Drosophila melanogaster: one gene and its partners. The gene in region 3 interacts genetically with the main gene of each other region. Each region holds a gene or a part of one and is shown on either strand. Other genes may lie near its edges.

What was found. A genetic interaction does not mean that the proteins touch.
Region 1: of Ret (region 3) and Delta, changing one suppresses a phenotype caused by changing the other (phenotypic suppression), as found in Drosophila melanogaster (one study listed by BioGRID).
Region 2: of Ret (region 3) and spi, changing one suppresses a phenotype caused by changing the other (phenotypic suppression), as found in Drosophila melanogaster (one study listed by BioGRID).

Annotation. Positions count from the first base shown.
Region 1 is NT_033777.3:19,321,397-19,327,860, forward strand, and holds the start of Delta (delta), read right to left. Parts: upstream 4,822-6,464; 5' UTR 4,143-4,821; coding exon 4,086-4,142; intron 1-4,085. UniProt on the Drosophila melanogaster protein: Acts as a ligand for Notch (N) receptor. Essential for proper differentiation of ectoderm. Delta is required for the correct separation of neural and epidermal cell lineages.
Region 2 is NT_033779.5:19,572,495-19,579,304, forward strand, and holds the start of spi (spitz), read right to left. Parts: upstream 4,822-6,810; 5' UTR 4,692-4,821; intron 3,094-4,691; exon of another isoform or gene 3,041-3,093; intron 117-3,040; exon of another isoform or gene 6-116; intron 1-5. Other genes in the region: msb1l, read left to right, coding at 5,304-5,480, 5,546-6,514. UniProt on the Drosophila melanogaster protein: Ligand for the EGF receptor (Gurken). Involved in a number of unrelated developmental choices, for example, dorsal-ventral axis formation, glial migration, sensory organ determination, and muscle development. It is required for photoreceptor determination.
Region 3 is NT_033779.5:21,193,771-21,202,007, forward strand, and holds the start of Ret (Ret oncogene), read right to left. Parts: upstream 4,993-8,237; 5' UTR 4,883-4,992; intron 1,727-4,882; 5' UTR 1,360-1,726; coding exon 1,293-1,359; intron 1-1,292. Other genes in the region: CG31624 (uncharacterized protein), read right to left, coding at 5,631-6,167; CG31988 (uncharacterized protein), read right to left, coding at 7,946-8,237.

The sequences.
Region 1 (6,464 bases), on a different chromosome or scaffold from region 3:
AGGGCGCATTCAACGAATGTAAGCGGCCAAACGAAAGACTTAGGCAACGAACGCGGCGCAAACACATTGTACGGAAAGAAATATTGATCTGATATAACCATACTTTTATTTGTATTACTACTTTAAGTGTAAAATCAAAGTTCTAATATTTTAGCTTCTTATTAAACAGATTAATTAATATTTGTATTTAAGTACAACAAGTGAACAGTTCACCTATCAAAATGTTATACAAAGGCATGCTAATACTTAATCTACTCTTTTTCCTGTGTATGTATTAATAAGCAGCCAACAAAAACAAAACGGACGCAAAAGAGCAGCAAAACAAAAAGAAACACACACAACAAAAAACTTAAATAAAAGAAGCAGCAGCAACAGGCAGCGACGCCGACGTCGACGTCAACGTCGGAGAAAAACGATGAAAAAATGTACAAGTAAAACCGAATTGTTTCCCACGGCATACGATTTTGCCGGTCAACATTGATGGTTAAAACGAGGAAAAGAGACAGCGCGAGAGGGTGAGAAGGGGAGCGCTTGGGCGAAGAGCGAGAGAGCAGAAGTAAAAAGGTGTAAGCGAATAAACGCCAGGTGAAGAAGAGCAGTGCATGCAGCCATATTGAAAGATCGCCAAAAGAGAGAGAGAGAGAGAGGCCCCAAGCTATAACAGTTTAGCGCAGAGCGAGAGAGAGCTAAAGCGGTAGTTGTTGTTGTCAGCTGAGCGCAAAAAGAGCAAAGCGTGACTTAAAAGTGAATTGGAGTCGCGTGTTTGCTGGTGTGTGTGTGCAAGCTTACAAGCTGCAGCTGCCAGCTGCTCCAAAGAGAGAGAGAGAGCACGAGAGCGAGGCTCTCCCAGAGCAAAAACTTGTTTTCAACGGCGCTTTGAAGAGGAGCATAAATATGCGCAAAAAAGCACAGAATAAGAAGCAGGCAAAATGAATTAATAGACAATCAAGCCAAACGATGCGTCTGAATTAATAAAAGAAATACAATAAAAAAGGGAAAGAGAAAGAGGGAGAAAAACCATTGAGTGGAAGGAAGGTTAGAAAGGTGGGAGGCGGCGGGCAGGGGGGCGTGTCCAGTGGAAAGCCAAACTAAACTAGACTATAAACAACAAAATGGGACAAACGAAAAGCGCACACACAAACAAAGGCGCAGAAGTTGACACAACATATACAACACAAAAAAAGCAAGACAAAACAACAAGCAAATCAATTTGCATAACACCAAACAAACATTCACACACACTCTAAAGATGGTGGGAAGCACAAGCAAAACAAAACAAAAAGTGCAATCGTTAAAACCACAATAGTTTTGTCCACCATTTGACACCAATTTTGGTTATAGTTTCTCACACTGTTTTAAAGTCCCTCCAAGTATGCGGTTAGTATTAGCAAGCTCTTAAAGGGACAAGTAGTAGATAATATGATGAATTAGCATTTAAAAAACATAACTTTCGTTCTAATAACGTAAAATATATAATATATTTCTCTTTGATCTAACTTTTCCGACTGTTTTTATCGTAATTCCAAAATGTTGAATGCTCAGTTACACCTTGCACAATCCGCCTCATAACTTTGGCATATGTACACTGGTAATGGTTCTCCTTCCGCTTTTTGTTTGCCTTTGCCTTCAACTATGAACTCCACAGCGGCTGAATAACCGAAAGGTAAAACTTGTGGGGGGGATCTACGAGGGGGTTTCGCCAGGTGGAACTTGAAAGCTGGAGCTGCCAACCTCTCAAATGGAAGACAGACACTTGTTAAAGTGTTAGAAAATAGTGCGTTGCATTGTTTACCTTTTGCTTGAGCCATTCTTTGTCTCCGTTTCTCGTTTTCTTTCTCTTTACTGGCCACTACTCCTATTTTTACTGCGATCACTGAGGCTTGAAGCGACTAGTTAGTTAGTTCTTCGTTTCTTTTCATTTTTTGCCATTTCCACGTCAACTTGCCTTGACTGACAGACAGTTGTTGTAGAAAAAAAAGCAGGGAAGAAGTTAAAACAACACAAGGGGACATAAAAATGTATGAAAGCACGCATTTTTATTATAATTTTCCCCGACTTTTCCTCGACTTTCCTACAGGTGTTTGCTTTGGTGCCCCTACCCTGCATGTTGTTTATTAATCATTTAAATTCATCATCATAATCAACCGTTAACAACGGGCTTGGGAAACAGTTACAAGCGCAAGTGAATCATCCATCGCATTGTGTGGGAGTAGTCGTCGTCTTCCTCTTTGGCTTCTAAATTGCAATTAATTATGTTATGCGAAGAAAGAGCAGAGCCGAGAAGACTACGAGTGCTCCCCCACGAGTCCCAGTCTTCATTCATTCATTCATTCATTCACTCACTCGCTCACTCACTCACTTCTTCGACGCTCAATGTTAATATGAAAATTGCATAAATGCGAAAACAAGGCGACTACGGTTATTTGATAGTTAAATTGAAATTTAAACGCAGCATGGGACAAGAAAGGGCCAAGAAATTGTGAGAATAATACCTTATAGAATGGGCAGAAAATTGAATTAAATTGCATTGCTAATGGCAAGCTAATTGCCCGAGATATTATTTTAAATGACAAATTAAACTATTCCACCTTTCCCTGTAAGTAAGTAAGGAAATGAGTCAGAATTATTGGGCAGATGTTTCTGCCTACATACGGGGAGCATTTTCAGCAGTCCCAAGACCCCAGGAGGTTGGCGTCGAGACACTTTTTTGGGACGTTGTTAAAATTAGCGACTAAATAGCAGACTGCAAAAAGAAGCTGGTCGAAGAGTGAAGTTTAAGCACGCAACGTGCCAAAGTTGGGAGAAAATCAAGAAGTGCGGAGAGCGGTAGAGGATTGGAGCACATGCAGGGTGCACGGTGAGTAAATGGGTACTATTATCAATAAAGAGCTCCCTATCAGCTTAATATTGTGGATCTAAGTTGTAATTTCTTCGTAGCTAAATAGTTCTGAACTATGAAATGTATACTATGTACACATACTATGTATGGTCAAGATTTATTATAATTTAATATTTTCTTATCTTTGAAACTAACCCACACATTAACAACAAAATATTTAGTGTTATTTTCTAGAGATCGCACTGTTTGGAAACCCTGCACAACTCTTTTTTTTATCCGTGTAACCAGGGGATGCTGGCGTTAAAGATCAATGAAAGCATGACAGAAGAGAAACAACGCAAGGAGGGGAGAGCAAGTGAGGCTGAGCATGTGTCGCGTTGACCTACGCAGAGCGAAAAGTAAACCGAAAAAAATCGCATGTAAAAAGCGCATGCAAAGCGGAGGGACAGAGGAGGAGATGACGGCGAAAACGGCAGATGTTGCCCAGCATCATCAACTTTTTAGCATGGGCTTGTAGCACAGCATTACTATATAGCCTCATATTGAAATCGAGCAGTTTTATCATTTTTTGCTGCTGCTCTGGATGCATACGCCGTTGGTGGTAAATTTTGACGTTGAGGCAGACTTGGATCATCTCTGTTTTTACACGGAGAACAATTAGTACACATAGTAGGATTTCTAAGAAGTTGAACTGATCTGCATGTCAAAAATTATCTTGAAGGTATTTCTTCTAACGTATGCCTCATATTTTTCCGCTGTGTACTAGAATTAAACCATTTTTTGGGGATGGACCTGTTTGGGCATTGGCCTCGCATGTTTCCAAACTAGTTTTGCTCTATGAAATATGTATGCATGTTCCGAAAAGGGTGATACGATCCGATCCACAATTTCCACCCCTAAAAGCCAACCCGCTTAAAATATCAACTCAGCTGTTTCTACCCAAAAGTTCTCGGGTTACCAGCTTGAAAAATAAGTTTGGAAGCAAACGCGATGTTGGAGTGGTTTCAAAATAGATATTTTGAGATGATCATACGGAACCCCAAAAGTTTTAAAATATTTAGTAACCTGGCAACCCTTCAATCGTTTCTTCCCTTTTGGCCCCACACACACACATGCGCGCACAACACACCAGCTGCAAAATTCAGCGGTGAGTGCACGCGTGCGCGTAGAAATAAAGAAAATAAATTGCCAAAAAATACAACTTGTTGGATGGAAAATGAGCGCTTTTCCTGGGACTGAAACTCACCTGCACGATGACTGTGAAGCAAATGAATGCTGTTAATAAACATTTAATCCAATGCATGTTTATTGATGTTTTTGTTGCTGATTTTTTGGATTGAGTGTCGCTTTTAGTGTAATAATCCACGGGCTGTGTGTGTGTGTGTGTGTGTGCGGCAACTACTCAAATTGTTTATTGTGTTTATGTTTTGAATTTTTTTTTTGGTTACTTGTCGCACATGGTTTTGCAATTCGCTTTTAGCATTTTCGTTGTTTTCTTGTTGTCGTTGTTGCAAGCTACACGTGCACGCGCCACATTTTTTGTTGCAATTTCCTCGACTGTGTTTATTTTTAAGTGTCGCGAAATAAAAGCTCTTTTCGCGAACTGCGGAGTCTTCTCCTTTTCACGCAGAAAAGCGCAAAAGGGAAAAGCGAGAGAGGGAACTAACGGTGCCGCGATTCTTAATCATTCGCGATTTTTTAATCTTTCGGAGGAAACACTTCTTGTTATTCTGTTAGAAGATCTTTTATTTTGATTTCTGGTTCTGGCACTTTTCTTTTGGTACATTCAAATATCGAATGAGAACTGCCCAGAGTCGCGGTAATCTGCAATTCTTAAGTGAACTATTGCATTGGCAGTTCGCGTCACACACCGAATATTTGGTCGCGTTTCGAGTCGGGGACTTGTGTTTTTCAAAATGCCTTGGCTGCGGAGCTGCCTTTTTCGAGTTATTCGCGCGGCCGAGTTGAAAAACGTAATGCCGTTCATGTCCACGACCAAAACACTATTCACCTTCACCGCCGCGAATCGTACTAAAAAATACCACGAAACGTACTCGCTCTCTCATTTCTCTCTTTCGCTCTCAAAACGAGTTCCGTGGCAAAATTAGTGCATTTCAGCAGATGCAATGCAACAAACCGTTTTGAATAAATAGTCAACTTACACATTTTAAAAACTATTTAAAATTTCAATATACATTACCAAGTTTATTTTGATATAAGAATTTATTATATTGTTTAACTTCAACCGGACGGGTGTTTATTTGTACAAATTTCCAAGATTGTCTCTAAATAATCTTCAAAATTCGGATTTTTTATTTCTAGATATTCTACTTTTATTTTTATATCTAAAATAAAACAAATCAATTCAATTCGTTTACGTTAGCAACATTTGATTCCCCGTTTTGCTAGCAGTTTCAGATACCAGTTGGATACCGGCTTGTAAGCATTTCGTTAGCAACATTTGATTCCCGGTTCGCTCAATTTACCGATTCAGCTCACGCGAAAGTTGAAAGCAAAATGCTTAGCAACATTTATTGTTGCCAAGATGAGAACCAAAAATAAAATTAAAGATGGATATTTGTATTTAATATAAATATTTGAATTTTATTATATTGGGTGCTTATAACTTATTGAATTGGCATGCAAGTATATCTCCATCATCTTCATTAGCAGGTACGTCATCAGTCTTAGGGTCTTGGTATTTATATTCCACCAAACTGCCGATCCAAGCATCCAATGTCGTTAGTATGATCAAAATCGAATGAGTTTCACTTCGCTAAAAACAACTTCTGCTGAAGACGTTTTCAGAGACGGAAAATGCATCATCATATGAATTTTTTTGGCTCTGATAACTTCTCCAGGACTGTCGCTCTTATGGAGGTGAAACTCCTTCGAGTTTGGGCATACTAAATTCATTGAAAGAGGATCCATAAACTACATATTAATTGTCCAAGCTGCTCGGTGGAAATTGCTGAAGATACCATCTAGCTAAAGGTTTGGAATCTCATTAAATATGATCAGAATGTACAAATATTTACAAGCCTCTGCCTCAAAGATCCATTGGCTCGGAAATACCATCTTGTGATAACATCTTCACTGCGTTGCATATGTTTGCTCCACAATAACCAAATGAACTAGAATCTCTATTGAAATAAACGATAAATAACTATATAACCAAACAATATTTCAAAATCAATAAATTTTGTTCTAAGCATTTTGTGTAATAGTAATAATTTTTAATACTTGCATTTATTTTCAACGAATATTAAAAAAAATAAAAATAAAATTTTTTTTTTGAATCCAAATATTTTCTAGTTGATATAGGACTGCCGACGATGCCGAATCGAGCTAAACTAAATATTTTTATGAAAATAGATTGAATATGATGTGTTCGCCTACTACGATTTCATTTTGGCTTTACAATTTTAAATAGCTGGCCTGATTTTCCAATTTGTACTTCCATTCTATTCTGTAAAAATCTTAAGGTAAAAATGCTAAGTCTGTACACCTATTTATTTTATTATTATTCCTAACAAATCATTAGATTCTTCGGTGGTCTCTGGATCCAAACTTTCGTTAAAAATTGATCCAATTACTTAACGAAAAGAGCAAGATTAATTTGATT
Region 2 (6,810 bases), 1.6 Mb from region 3:
ATTACCAACTGTTTGCATTTAAACTTGGACAACATTAGGGGGCAGAACGCCGACAACGCACACCGCGCACACGAAAAAACACAACCGCACCGCCAAAGATTCGAAAACCGAATGCCGAACAACAACAAAATTGGTTCTGAAGATGGAGGTGTTTTTCAGCAGAGCGAGATTCCCTGGCTCACGCTGAGCGGGAGAGAACGAGAGCGACAAAGTCTCTCCTCTAAAAATGCGGCATAATAACAACAAAGTGGCGAGCGGCTTTCGAGCTCATGCTGTATGTTGTTGTATACCCGTTACTTGGAGAGTTAATTGGGTATACGGTGATGGGCTCTTAGGCAAAGAATTTTTCCAAAATACACTTTGCATAATTACTCAAATAAATTGCCTCAGAAGCTACTTTACTCGTTTAAATCTTAAATTAATATTATTCCATTAATGTCAAGCCACACAATACAAAATTCAATAGGAATCACTCACCTATAGCTGTCATTGCAAACAAATGATATTACCTATTGGACTAAAGGGTATATCTGAGTAGTTACGCTTCGTAAAAAGGGCTCTCTCTTGTTTTGGTTTTTGTTTTGGTGTTGCCAGAAGATTTCGCACGATGTAGGATCAACATGTTATTGACACGACGTCGCCGACGCCGCCACTTTTAAGCTTGGCGGAGCAAAAGGCACACAAACAAGAAGCGACGCAGAGCGGCGGTGCAAAAGCACAAAAAAAAAGAGGAAAAATGCGCTCGAGAGCGGAGGGCGTGGCGGTGCGCAGGGGCGGGGCAGGTAGCCGGACAAACAGGACGAACAGGATGAAACCCAGACGAGTTCGGCCCCACTGCAGATTTCATGGAACTGGCCGAAGGTTGAGGATGCGGATGCGATGCGCAGGCGCGCAAGTAAACAACATTCCATTCCTCGGGAAATTTCTTCTGGCCGCTCGAGAAGCGCGCCAAAAATAAAGCTCCGACCGATGTCGTTGCCATAAATATTGCTATTTTGACTTTCCAGATTCTCGCGATTCAACGCCCCTTGAAATGGGAGCAACTTGCTGGAGATTCGCGTATCAGGGCTGGAAGAGGGTTTCTCCAATAACTGCACATTCACTCAAAAATATGGTAAAAAGGTGTGCTGCAGCTTCGAGAGCTCCCAAGAGGTAACTTTATGTTATAAAATTACATATATTTATTTTATGTATATATTCTGGGAAAATCCATACGCGATCTAAAACATTTGGGGCGCGGTTTTCACAGGTAAATGAGATTTTGGAATTCCTTTACTGAAATGCCAACGTCGATGTCGTCGATTTTTTCAAAAAATCACAAACATCGATGTTTTTCGAGGAATCATCGATGTTTCTCCACCTCTAATAAGGCGGATTCGACCTATGTACATGTACTGCATGTATGAAAGCGGCACAACTACCCGTTTCCGGTGGGCAGTCGGTCCGCAATGTGGGCCGCAGACACCATTCCACAGCCAATTGACGTCACAAGCGACACAACAGCAACAACCTGGCACACGCTTTCTGGGTTATGTCGGAATGCATCCAAAAGCGGGAGAAAAGTAGAAAAAGGCAGGAAAAGAAAGAAACCAAGAGTCACCCGGATGGCAATTCGATTCTGGTGAGATTTGGACAATCAATCGGCTTAGTTCACAGCCCAGCGGGACGGGACTCAGTGCTACAGGTTCAACTGTACAATAATACCAAGAAGATGACGACGATGACGATGACGATGATGATGGGGGATGGGCGATGGGCAAAATGTTAATGGATTGCCCTAGGACCTGCCCTCATTCCGTTTGCCATCTTCGTCGCTTCGCTTCTGCATTTGTGCATTCCCATTCCCAATCCGATTCCCCCATCAAGTTGTGCTTCTTTGCCACACCGCTTTTCTGCCCCTTTTGCGGTGTTCTGTTGCTTTGTTGATGTTACAATTGTTGCACTTGTTGTGTGCGGCTTAGGACGTTGAACCACAGCCGGCAGAAATGCAGAAATGCACGCAACTGAGTGGCAAGTGTACAGCTGCAGTCACAGCACTAGCAATGCTTTGCGAAGGATTCCTCCAGACCGCTTTGTAATTGGTTTTCTTTCGCGTAATTTGGCCGATATTAGTTAGTTCATATCTGCAATCTAAATGTTACGAACCAGCAGAGTTCCTAGAGCCCTAGAGACATTAATGTACTTTTAATTGCCCCACTGTATGAATTTTTTTCAGTGCATTCTTGCAATTTGCTAACGTTTTTACCGCCATTACCGTCATTGTCGTATATATTTGTATGCTCATTCGGAAAGCCAATTCGAAGGCAATGCTAATAAAATCAATAAACAACATTACTGTCACGCACACATACATACATACATATGCATATAGCTTGGATGTCCGGTTGAAACGATGACGATGAAAGGTCACGACGAAGAATTTTTCGCCAATTGCCTGGTGGGTCGCACAGTCTGGGTCGCGAGACGTCTGACTAGACAACATGCAAATAGTAACGGTAATCATTAGACGCACACACTCGCACCTATTTGCATGCACACTCTCTCTGGCTGTGGTTCTGGTCGTGGGCCCCCATATTTCATCTATCTCGCGGCCGCTCTTTCTTTCGCTCACCATTTTCTATGCTGAGTTCGACGGCCTTCTTACGTAAAATCAACAACAACGCTCTGCGGTATTTCTCTTCTAATAAGCGGGTGCTTGGGGCTTGGGGTTGGGGGGATGTGCACTCGCCGACAGAGTTGCCATATCTAGCCAGACATCAAACTCGTTTTCACTGTTTTGGCTCCACACACACACACACACACGCATGTGAGTGGCTTTGCAACTGTACAAGAACAATAAGTAGGGGCAGCATAAAAGCAACAACACACGGCGCAGACGCCAAGCAACCGCTCCCCTCCCAACGCTCCACTCAATGTTTGTCTGTCTGTCCGGAACGTCTGTTTATGTATGCTTTAGGCGTATACATGCATGAGTGTGTGTGAGCAATTTTTATTTTTCTGAATGTAAAGGAAGTGGCACGTACTGTACTACTCAACTCACCGCTGCCGCAACAACAAGAGCAGTGACAGCCGGATCAGGCTGGGAATTCGAATAAGAGCGGAGCGCGTCGCATTCGGATGTTCCGATTCCCCATCGTTCCCAGCCGCAAAGCGGTCAGCGTTCCAATGCCAACGGCACAGTGGTTGCGATGCGTAAGGTAACGTGCTACGGAACCGAAACTCGCGGATGATCGTAAGTGGGAGATATGTACGTGGGATAAGAGCGAAAGTAGACGGATATCCGATTTGCAAAAAGATGTAGTATTAATTTAAAATGTTTAGAATAACAAAAATAAGCTAACAAAACTATAACCATGACAAACTATGACGATAACAATATATTTGCTATGCGTTACGATTTACAAACTTTGAATACTTTTTAAAAGATGCTTATTTAGGATCGATCCATTGTGCAGCGAGATGAGCGGAACGAAAGGCGAAAGGGACGCTGGTTTGCGTCTCCGCTGTACGCCAGACAGACAGACAGACAAGACGCCGCAATATTATAAACAGGAAATGGAATTTACCCACACGGATGCAGCGCGGTGAAGTGTGTGTCTGTGTAAATTGCTGATGAGCCGACAAACGGACGTGGTGCTCAATTGACAGATGAGCACGAGAGAGACAGGCAGAGCATAGCACACCGCCGAATGAGCGAAGGAGAAGGCCAGAGCGCGCTTCAAAGTTGATTGAAATCAATATACGTACATACGTATGTATACACACATAGCGTGCCGGTGTGAGTGTGCTAAGACCGCTCGTGGAATGTTTGAAAAACGCGGTCAAGCGACGGGAAGAGCAAGAATGTTGAACTCTGGAAGTGGGAAGAAGTTTCTGTAAATAGAAGCCAGGTGGAAGGGGCTTTTGCACCTGCCACGCCCAGCAGCCCCTGGAATCAATTAACATGTTGCACAACTGCAGCGGCTCCTATATACATAGTTCATATAATGTACTTGTGATACAGTGACTTACGCACACAGAGGTGCAATTGCAGATGGCGACGAGTGTAGCGTGTAGTTTTTCTCGGAAATGAGCAATGAATGAAATTCGGTTGTTTTCAGTACTCACACGCACACGAACGCAGATGCATACACTCGCAATTTGGAGCAAGAGAGAAAGTCTGCACGACATGCGCTCTGGCGTTTGTGTGTATACAATTTGCTTACTTTTTGCGCTACAATTGGCAAATAAAACAATAGCGCAATTTTACGCAGCACTTTAGCTTACTAACCCACATTGATGGCTCCACAAAGCGAGCAAAATAATTTGTCTGCCTAATTGAAATAAAATAAATAAAACTAAGCAGAAAAAATGTCGGCAAAAAACAAGGCGCAGCTGTATTGTGCGCTAGTGTGTGTAAAAAGGAGACGGCCATAGAAAAAAAAAACACATATACACACAGGAGAATTTACTGCTGCTTGCGGCGCCCACACACACATACACAAAAACACTCGCCTATTTAGTACAGCAACTGCGTAAATTCAATAAAAATAGTCATCTGGAGTAAAAAAACCCAGTTTCCTGTCTTCATTTCCCTTTTTCCGTGAAGGTACACAGTCACTACTGTTATAATTTAGCACACACACTCGCGCATTTATGTATGCATTTGGGTTGCTTTCATTTGGATGTTTATCACTTACTTTACCACTTACTTTGGGATTTAGCTCTTCGTTTGTCGCACTTTTTTGGCCTGTTTTCATGCCATTTTCTTTTTGAAAAACTGAAAGAGTACAATTCGTTGTGTCGCGTCTTAAATGAACAAGTGTTGCCAGACTTTAGCTGGAGGGAGATGACACTATCGCGAGGCAGCATAAAAATCAGTGCTGTAAAGCGAAATTAAAAAAAATATCTGATAACTTTAATATTAGTTTATTTGTTTACTGAATTTTACATTTTCTTATGTACTATAAATAAAAATCAATTCATAAATTTATTTGAGAGGAGTAAAACAAGAAGAATCCACCTAAACATTACAGACTTAAGTTCTAAATATCCCAAACGTTGTTTAATTTCTATTTATATTTGTAACGATTAGTTAGTTATTAGTAATAATGAAAGAACTAGTGATAAAATCCATTTGTAATCACTGCTAGAATTGGCTTGAAAATAGCTAGACTGACGTTAACAATACTGTTACCAGTTGGCATTTCCTGATCCGGCAACTCCACACGACGCCATTTCAAAACAAATGCGCGGCAACGATTTTATTTTACCCCGCAACATTTAGTGAGAAGTCGCAAAATAAGTCAGATTATTTGATTAAAATGGGAGCAAAGGCAACAAAAATGGAAGGTGAATATCTGCCGGATACGCCGACACTAAACAAAATGCGCCTGGCCAGCGAAAAGCGAGAACAAATGGAAATGACGACGCCGAATCGAGAGCAAAACAACGCTTTGCTCGATCCTCGATCACCAAATGGCTGCCGCACGCCTTTAACCGTGAGTTTATAGGCATTAGGTATTTTTTGATATTACTAACCCTAGTAATGATGGCTGCGTTGTAGTTCTTGCAGGCGTCAAAACCTCGCGTTGAGGAGGAGGAGCAGCATGTGACCACCAGTGAAAATGCCTTCTCCATGCTGCGAAAACGTTTGCTCAAGGGCTTCTCCCTGAACGATCCTCGCTCTCCTCAGCTGAATCGCACTCCACTGGTCCTCGATGAGGTTCGTTCGCTTAATATGGATGACACATTCGCCGATCTCTTCGTGGACACCAGGGTGGGTACAGCACAGAGAGCAGTGCCTGCATCACCGCCCCAAGTGGATTTAGAGGAGAGCTGCGATAGCTTCGGCACACCGCCGTCTGCTGCACACAACAATATTTCCCTGGAGATTGTTTCACTGCCCTATGATCAGGAAGAAACCTTGCCTTGCGAGCAACAGCTGCTGCCGTATCAGGAGCCGAATCTGGAGCAGGGCCAGGTGAAAATGGCCACGCCCCCGCCAGAACAGCAGCCCCATGGTGATCCCCGATCGCCCAGCCTGGGCGTCGATCGCACACCCATCATCTTCTGCGACGACGAGGAGGAGGAGGCACGCGAGGCCCAGATGCTGGAGCACATCCTGGAAACACTGACCCTGAATCTCAGCACTGGCAGCAGCATGGCCTCCTTTGTCGCTGGCGAGGAGCAGCTACCAGAAGTGCCGTCGAACAAACATTTGGAGCGAGTGCGTTTGGGTCACAAGCGTCGTGTGCCACCGCGCAAGCCCGCCAGAGCCAACAAGCCAAAGATCTATGTTGACCAAGAGGAGGGGTCCCCGGTGACCGGAGGATCCATTACGCCCAAGACAAACAGTACCCCCCTGTCCGCACAAAAGCGAACTCCACTCAGTTGCGTTAAGAATAAGCCGCATCTGCGATCCCGTTCAATGGAAAAGGATTCTAAGAAGAATCAGATTCCGCCCGCGCAGAGCTTCAACGATCAACTGCGGATAATCTCTGGCACAGAGGGATTCAGCGGACCCGTTTACTAACACAGCTTAGTAGCTACTATTGCCTTATGTCCATCAAAACCCACCAAATCATAGTCTTTTCTCACGACACATACTTTTATTACTCATCTTTTAATAAATCATTTTATTAGTTTGCTTGCCAGTACATTGTGCACATAAATTGATGGATGCAGTTTGCTCATGAGTATTATTCTAACATTTGGAAACCGGGCTATTTATTCCTGAAGTAACCTATTACCGATAATCAGCGACATATAGTTTGTATATCCATTGAATCTATTAAGTCTTAAACGTTGCAAGTTAGTAAAACCGCCACA
Region 3 (8,237 bases):
GTTCGTGAATTTCTGGCGGGGAAGGGGCAGAAGGCAGCTGGCGGGCACTTCGACACCTTTAACCCGAGTGACTGATTGACCGGCGATTCATATGCGGTAGATTCAACTTGGCTGGGCCTATAGGGGAATTTTTCAGTGCCAGCTGTCTTGGAATGGATCGCAGTGGTAGTCATCCCCCAAAAAATATCAAATGTGACTTTGCAGCGTGATGAATTAATTTTTTGGGCGTGTACTTGTCTGGCACGTCATGCACTAACAAAAATACAATTGGTCTTAATATATTGCAATATATTTATACAACCGCTAGACTAATAAATACAATTATTCCACAAGAAAAATTAACATACTTTACTGTTTTGTTTTTAATTTCTCGTTCAAGCATAGAAATCAAATCAAACCCAGTAAAAAGGTAAAAAATTGTAAAGAAAATATATGACATGATAATGTTATATGATATTTAGAAAACATTTGTAAAAATAGAAAGTAAGTAATATTTAAAGTTAATATTCAACAAAGGACGAACTGAGTTTACTATGCGGAAATTGAAATTTACATGTTTCCAATGTGTAAAGTTTTTTTTTCCCCCCAGTTTGAGGCATTGATGGAGCGGCCCCAGGGAGTTGGTCGGTAGACCAGTCCATCAGCGTCAGTCAGTTGGTTGCAAAGTCAAAAGCGAAAGGCCGGGCCCACATATCGCTTACCAACTTGTCAAGACGTCAGTTCACACCTGTGCCAGGCGAATAAAAATAAGAGCCTTGCTGGTCGCGTGGAACGCAATGGGCCTATAATTAGGAGCTAAGCAGTGCGTCTTTGAGCACAACAACCTAAAAAAGTCATAAAAGGAGATTGCACTTTATTACACCTCTAATGGAAACATCATATCTTCGGTTGCATTCCCACTGTGCATATATTGGTGTTAAGGTTATCTGGGAGATTCGTTCACTGGCACTCTATGGAAATGAGGGTAATTGCCTTTTGCGAGATTCCCATTTGCCACAGAAACAGGAGAAAAAGGGGTTAACGTGCTTTACTACATATAAGTTGATATACATTGACCGACGACTCCAATACCCAATTAATAAAACATTTAACTAGTTTCAAGTTAAAAAATCCATTTTGGCAAAGCCTTGTCACAGTAGTCAGTTATAAAAGGTGTTAATTGTTTCGACTATTCTTGTTTCCCAAGCTGCCTAAATTCAAATTGAAATGGATCGATAAATCACCCAATCGACCACATTGAGTAATAAAGCTTAACATTTTTGCCATCCTTAAATTGTTTGTAGCTCACTTACCCGCACAGTGTTTACGTTGGGTTATAATTGTGAGCAGAGTCACAAAAACAATAGTAGTTGACTCCATCGTGGTTACTTTTTCAAAAAGTCAGTTATCAGTCGGCAATTTTCGCTCACTCGTAGACGCACATTACATATTTACACATAGTGAACGTCGCTTTTAATGGGTTTTCTCTACAAATTGTCGCTATTTGTTTGATTTTTTATGTTCCGTGTTTTTTTTCTCTGTGATGGTATTCTTTTCCAATGCTGTATCCAATTAGCCACGTTCGATTCCGTCACAAGCTTAATTACTTTTGCCACAAATTGATAAGTAGCATTTATCAATTAATGTGCGAAAACCAGAGCAGAAAATATGAAAAAATAACAATGAGTTTTGCGGATATTTAGACCACGAACATTAATAGTTTTTCGTTTTTGGTGCAGAACGTAAGCTTTTGAAAACAAGTAACAGAGGTTTAGGTTTACCAAAATAACAATTTGGAAAATTAATTTTTTTTATTTCAAAATGAGTTTTCGTAAACATCAATGTACCCACTGAAAGGGTATGACTGCTAATTATTTTTATTGATAGCGGCGCCCACGCTCCCGTTTGTCATTTAAGCAATCTAATTTATCACTCAATTAATTCCGCACAAAATTCTCAAGAGCCGCGCGGTCTACGAATTCTGATTATTGCAATTCAAAATGAGCTTTGAATTTGTTTCGCATATTGATATTGTTATTAAATGGTCTTCGGTTGCTATTTTTGGCCAGCGCCAGGTGAGAGGCTTATTGGCGTTGCTTTCTGTTTTTTGTTTTATATTTTTCTAATTCTAAATTTTAAAAGTCGAGCGCCTCGGGTGCGTGCTATTTGTTGCTCTTATCATTATTAATTGTTCTTTTTGCCGATTCACTCCATGTCGAATGGCTTTCAGTTTGCTCAATCGGTTTTTAAGTGGAATAATTTAATTAAATTATTTGGGCAAACAATGTGGGTTTACTTCACAATTTGCTCTGGCTGCCTTAAGTCAAAAAGTTGAATGGTTTTTGAGACAGTTTCGGGCTTAAAATTACCAGAGTTTTGTATACAGTGGTAATGCTAATTTATTAAGATTTCTAAACTTCCTAACCAACTGCCGAAAACCCTGATGAATTTTGAATACGAAAAACAATAGAACTAGTTACGATAACTAATTCTATGCAAGTACCAAGCAACGCTCAACGAGGACGTGTCAAGGAAAAGGCAAAAAAAGTTTGTGGACGTGCGAGTACTCTACCTACTCCATACCCCACAGAGTACTCTAGGTACTCCACTCCACATCGCTCCAGTGCGGATGGATGGACGGCATATGTGTGGTATCCAGCGGTGCACGGCAGGTGTGATAAAAAGAACCCGAAAGAGACAATTGCGGCGTGAACTACCCGCTGGCCAGGGGAATGGCAATGGAAGATAGCACGCATAATTCAAACGAGCTCAAAGTCAAACAACGTGATAAGCAATTCACAAACACTGGCCGAAAAGTCGAATGGGAAAAACTGTGTAAACTGAAGCTGAAACTCATTGAATTTGGATCATTTCAATTTATTGGTAAATGGGATTTGCTTTAAGTAATTTCGGTATTTTGGTACTTAGTACAACACTCTTCTATCCGTTTTTCTTAATCATTGCAATCACATTTGCTTGAAATAAAGCACATTTTCTAAAGATAGTTTCCGATAGCATGGCCAAATGTGCGATTATCACAGTTTTATTCGCAGTGTATTCAAAGACCGAGAGACCGACTAACTGACTGACTGACTGACTGACTGGCAGTCCAAGTGTCTGCTGTCTACTTTTCGTCTGTGGGCCTCTTCAGCACCTGAGCACTTTAAAGTTCAAATCTTTTGACACACTGGGAGCTCAGTTGGCGGATGCTAATAACATACGACTTGACACAAAGAGGCTTTTGCAGCAGACACACACAGAAACTCAGAGACATTCACTGGAAGCCAACCGGTTGCCAACTGGAGGGGCTCTCAAAGGCTCGGGCCATGGCGTTTCCCCATTAAAGGTTAAGCGCGACCCAGCCGATCCGGGTGGACTTTTAAGGTGCGTCTATAGCCGTCCTGTTGCTCGAAACGCCAAAAATGGCAATTTCCATATAAAACTTATGCGAAGCCGGCAAACTTACAAACATCCGACGACCGCAAGAGTCAAAGTACGACTGTGGAGGTTCTTCAGTGCCAGTGACTGCCCCGACTGTTTTTTAACTGCACTGCGACAAAAAAAGATTCTAAGAATGCGTACTGGGAGCTTAATTTTAATCAAATGTTTGCCTTTTGCATTGCTTTATCATAATGAAGAACATTTTGCATTGCAAAGATTTAATGAATACAGAAATGTAAAAAAAAATTTTTTAATGTGTCGTGTTTAAAAATATTATGGCTTACACAATAAAAAAAAATGTTGCTTCATTTGGTTTCATCGAATTATTGCTACTTTTTCAATCTTTCCCCTAACTTTAAATGGTATTTTATATATGAGTATTGGTATAATGAGCTGTGAATAAAAACCAAATAGAATAATTCGATGATATTATTGACTTAGGCTTGGACCTTTTCCAGTGCCATCGGCTTGTAAGTTATTTTTTCGTTCACAGACATCTACGAATTGAAAAAGAATGCCAGAGTAGCGTCAATAAATTTGGCCTGGAAGCTTAGAGCCTGGCTTGGATTCCATTTCCACGAAAAAAGGTTCTGGAATGACAGCCGCTTTAAAGGTGTGCGTGATGTTCTTTTTGATCCAACACAGTCAGCAATAGCAAGTATTACAAACCCTAATTGATCCCATTGATTGAGTTTTTAGACCTGATCGCTTGTAGACACATTCGTAAAATGCAAATTCACATCGCGACTGACATTTGCATATGCTAACAATTAATTTTCTGTCACCTAGGTAATCAAAATAAAACATTTTCCAATTAATCCCACATTTTATAATTTGTAAGATTAACATTTTTATAAGCTCTGCCTCCACCTGAGCAAACGCAAGCACGAAAGACCTTAACAGGCATTTAAAATGTAGAAGTACAAGATTAGATATCTTTTGTATTAATTAAAATAATTATCAATTAGAATAAACGCTCAGACCACCCACACTTAGTGTTTTACTATCAAAGATGTGTCTTTGCATACATACATATATGTATATATATATATATTTATAGCTAATCTGTTATCCCGCCACTTCAGCTTTAATATATTAAAATATTTTCCTCAATAAACTGCAATTACTTGAAGTTGCAAATTGAGTAAACTAATTCCACTTCAACACGCACGGCTAAATCACAATTATCTGATGCCAATCTACACGATATACTGTATTGAGTTGTCAGTGCCACTAGACGTGAGGATATTGGCTGCATTTGGAAAATCCGAATCTGGAAAATCTGGCCATAGATCGCAAATAAATTTCAAAGTTCGCAACATACGTAAACCACGATCTTGATTTTGATAGACACGATTTATGGAGGCTTGCAGCTGCTGCAGCTTTTTACAGACTCCTTAATTGTTCGACTCAAACGGCAATTATTTATGGGACAGTTTCAACAGTGTAATTAATTAGCCACCTCTCTTTTCCCGTTTTCGGGCAGCTTTTCCGCGGAAATACTTTTTGGTTTGTGGAAAATCGCTTAAAGACCAACCGAACCGCTTTGCACGAGCTCCGTTTGAAAAATGAAACTGAAACCGGCAGCCGGCAACTCCAAAGCCGCAGAGCCCACAAAATCGTAACGAAAACTTGACTAACGAAGCCGCTTCGTGTATTTTACCCGAATGTATGAATTTTCCACGATGACGGCACGTCAGCACACCCTCGCAGAGTTTTCCATTTTCCGCTGCACTGCTGGGATACCCCTCCTCCAAACAACATAATTCCACCGACTAATGGCGTTTATGAGATAATCAGATGTGCATGTTCCAAGGCTGGGTAGCATATTTACCCTTGGAAACATGATCTCATATCAAGCACACTTTCCTCGACAGCTTCTTTTCACTGGGTTTGGGGAAAATATTTACTCAAAATTGGGAAAGGGCTTGCGTTCTAGTTTATCTCGCAGTAATCAGTATGTTGTTGTGGGTGTTGTTGGTCTTAGGCAAATCTTAACGATAAAAGGGTTTACCTGGCCACCCCAATACAGAGACTTTACATATTTATTTTTATTTAGTGTGTGCGTGTGCGAAATGTTAAGTGTGGTCAAATGTGTGGGTCTGATTTCTTTCATGCCTCTAGGCTTCATAAGCATCGGGAACTATTTCAACATTAGTGTAAGAAAGGAACTAAACAATTTGGAGTAAGATCATGGGTCCGGGACGATGTTAGCAATTGCAGGCGGGGCACACGGGCTTGTCCCCGTCGATGGTAAAAGTCTGCGAGGTTATAGGATTCTCGCATTTGTTGCACTGGAAGCAATTGCGATGCCACTTCACGTTCATGGCGAGCACCGCTGAGTCCGTTATAGGCTTCTCGCACTTGGCGCACCTGGCAGCAAAGAGGTTCTCGTAATCCTGTTTGCAATAGGGCTTGCCGTCGCGCTCATAGAACGTTTGACTGGCGAGCGGCTTCTTGCAGGCACCGCCGCAGCAAAAGCAAGCTTCGTGCCACCTCTCCCCCATGGCGCAGATGGTTTTTTCAAGGATCGGCTTCTTGCAGCCGGCACAGGTGTAGGTGTACCGCTCCACGAAGCACTTGTTGCACACTGGTTCTCCGCTCTGAACATTGAAGGTGGCATCCAGGATCTGCTCATCGCAGTGGTGGCACAGGAAGTGCTCCGGGTGCCACGTCTTGCCCAGGGCGGTGATCATACGCTTGGTGATGGCCTCCTGGCACTTGTGACACACAATGCTCTCAGTCATTTTGGCTTCTCGATTGGTAACTGCTAATAAAAAATGATTTTTAATGCGCATTACCAAGGGATTGTTCAATTACTCTTTTTTGATTGAATTGCTCGTATATATCGTAAATTGAGGTTAAAATACAAAATGTACAAAACAGGGCAGCTATCGATTATTTTATTGAAAGAAACAACGGAAGATGGCTATGGAACGATAAACACTGGGCAACGCAAATATTAATGAGACAAATTATAATTCTGTACTTATTTTAAGATTGGGTGTATTTCTTACTGGGTTTGTCGCCTGTTTCACTACTTCCTCTTTTCGCAGTGTGTTTTTCCTAGTTCGTAATTGTACTGTTCTCATATATCAAAACAGTTGTCACAGGGCCACCGTTGTTACTTTACTTTCTATTAGATGTTTCACACAAAATGGGAGCACAACAACAAGCAATAACGGGTATAATAAGGGTATACTAGATTCGTTAAAAAGTATGTAACAGGCAGAAGGAAGCGTTTCCGAACATACAAAGTATATATATTCTTGATCAGGATCAATTGCCGAGTCGATCTAGCCATGCCCGTCTGTTCGTATGAGATTCAGCATACAAATTCTAGAGACAACGATGCAGCGCAAGTTTGTTGGCCCATGCTGCCACGCCCACAAGCCGCAAAAAACGGCCACTCCCACACTTTTAAAAAAGTCTTGATATTTTTTTACATTTCATTTTTTATCAATTTGCAAAAAAACTTTTTGCCACGTCTACTCTAACGCCGTAAAACCGCCCATAACTGCTACGCTAACATTTTAGAAATTTTGAAAATTATTTCTTCATAATTCCATAACTTTTTGCCACGCCCTAAAACCGCACTAAATTGCTACGCCTACACTTTTGAAAACTGTTGATATTTTTATTAGTCTTGGAAATTCCTATCGATTTGCCAAAAAAAACTTTCTGCCACGCCCACTCAAACGCCCTAAAGCCAAAAACTGCCACGCACTTTTGAAAAATGTTTAGATTTTTCTTCGTTTTATTGTTTGTCTTGGCAATTTTTATATGTATACCAAAAGCACTGTGGACACGCCACTCCTTTCACCTTAAAAACTCCCAAAACAGTAACGCCCACATTTTTAAACAATTTTTACTCATTTTTTTCTATCGATATCCCAGAAAAATTATTAAATTTCGCTTTTGCATTCACACCAGCTGAGTAACCGTTATCTGATAGTCGGGGAACTCGTATGTAAAATTCTATCTTGTTCTTAATTTTTTTGTATTAATTCCATATTTATCTAGATTACACATCTGCGTAACCGATTCGTGACTACGCCAAGAGACGGCCACCACTTCATATCGAGAAGAATCGATAAGGCAGTTGTACTGCGATCTTAACGGAAAGATTTTTTAAAGCTCTTCAATTTTTGTTTTTAAAATTAAATAATTCATTATTTAAAGTGCTGCCAAAAGCTTGTTATTTAACGAAAGGCTGCAACATATTGGAAAGGGCTTGCTCGACCTTATCTCACAGTAATCAGAATGTTATTTTGGGTGACCAACACCACTAAGGCAAATCTTAGGGTATACCTGTCTACCCCAATACAGAGACTTAACATATTTGTTTTTTATTTTTATTTAGTGTTTGTGTGTGTATTAAGTTTGTGTGTTAAATGTGTAAGTCTGTTTTCTTGCATGCCTCTAGGCTTACTAAGCTTCGGGAACTATTTCAACATTATTGTAAGCAAGCAAATGAACAATTTGGAGGAAGAGCAAGGATGCACCATGGTTATCCGGGACGATGTTAGCAATTGCAGGCGGGGCACACGGGCTTGTCCCCGTCGATGGTGAAAGTCTGCGAGGTTATAGGATTCTCGCACTTGTTGCACCGGAAGCAATCGCGATGCCACTTCACGTTCATGGCGAGCACCGCTGAGTCCGTTATAGGCTTCTCGCACTTGGCGCACCTGGCAGCAAAGAGGTCCTCGTAATCCTTTTTGCAATAGGGCTTGCCGTCGCGCTCATAGAACGTTTGATTGGCGAGCGGCTTTTTGCAGGCACCGCCGCAGCAAAAGCAATCTTCGTGCCAGCTCTCC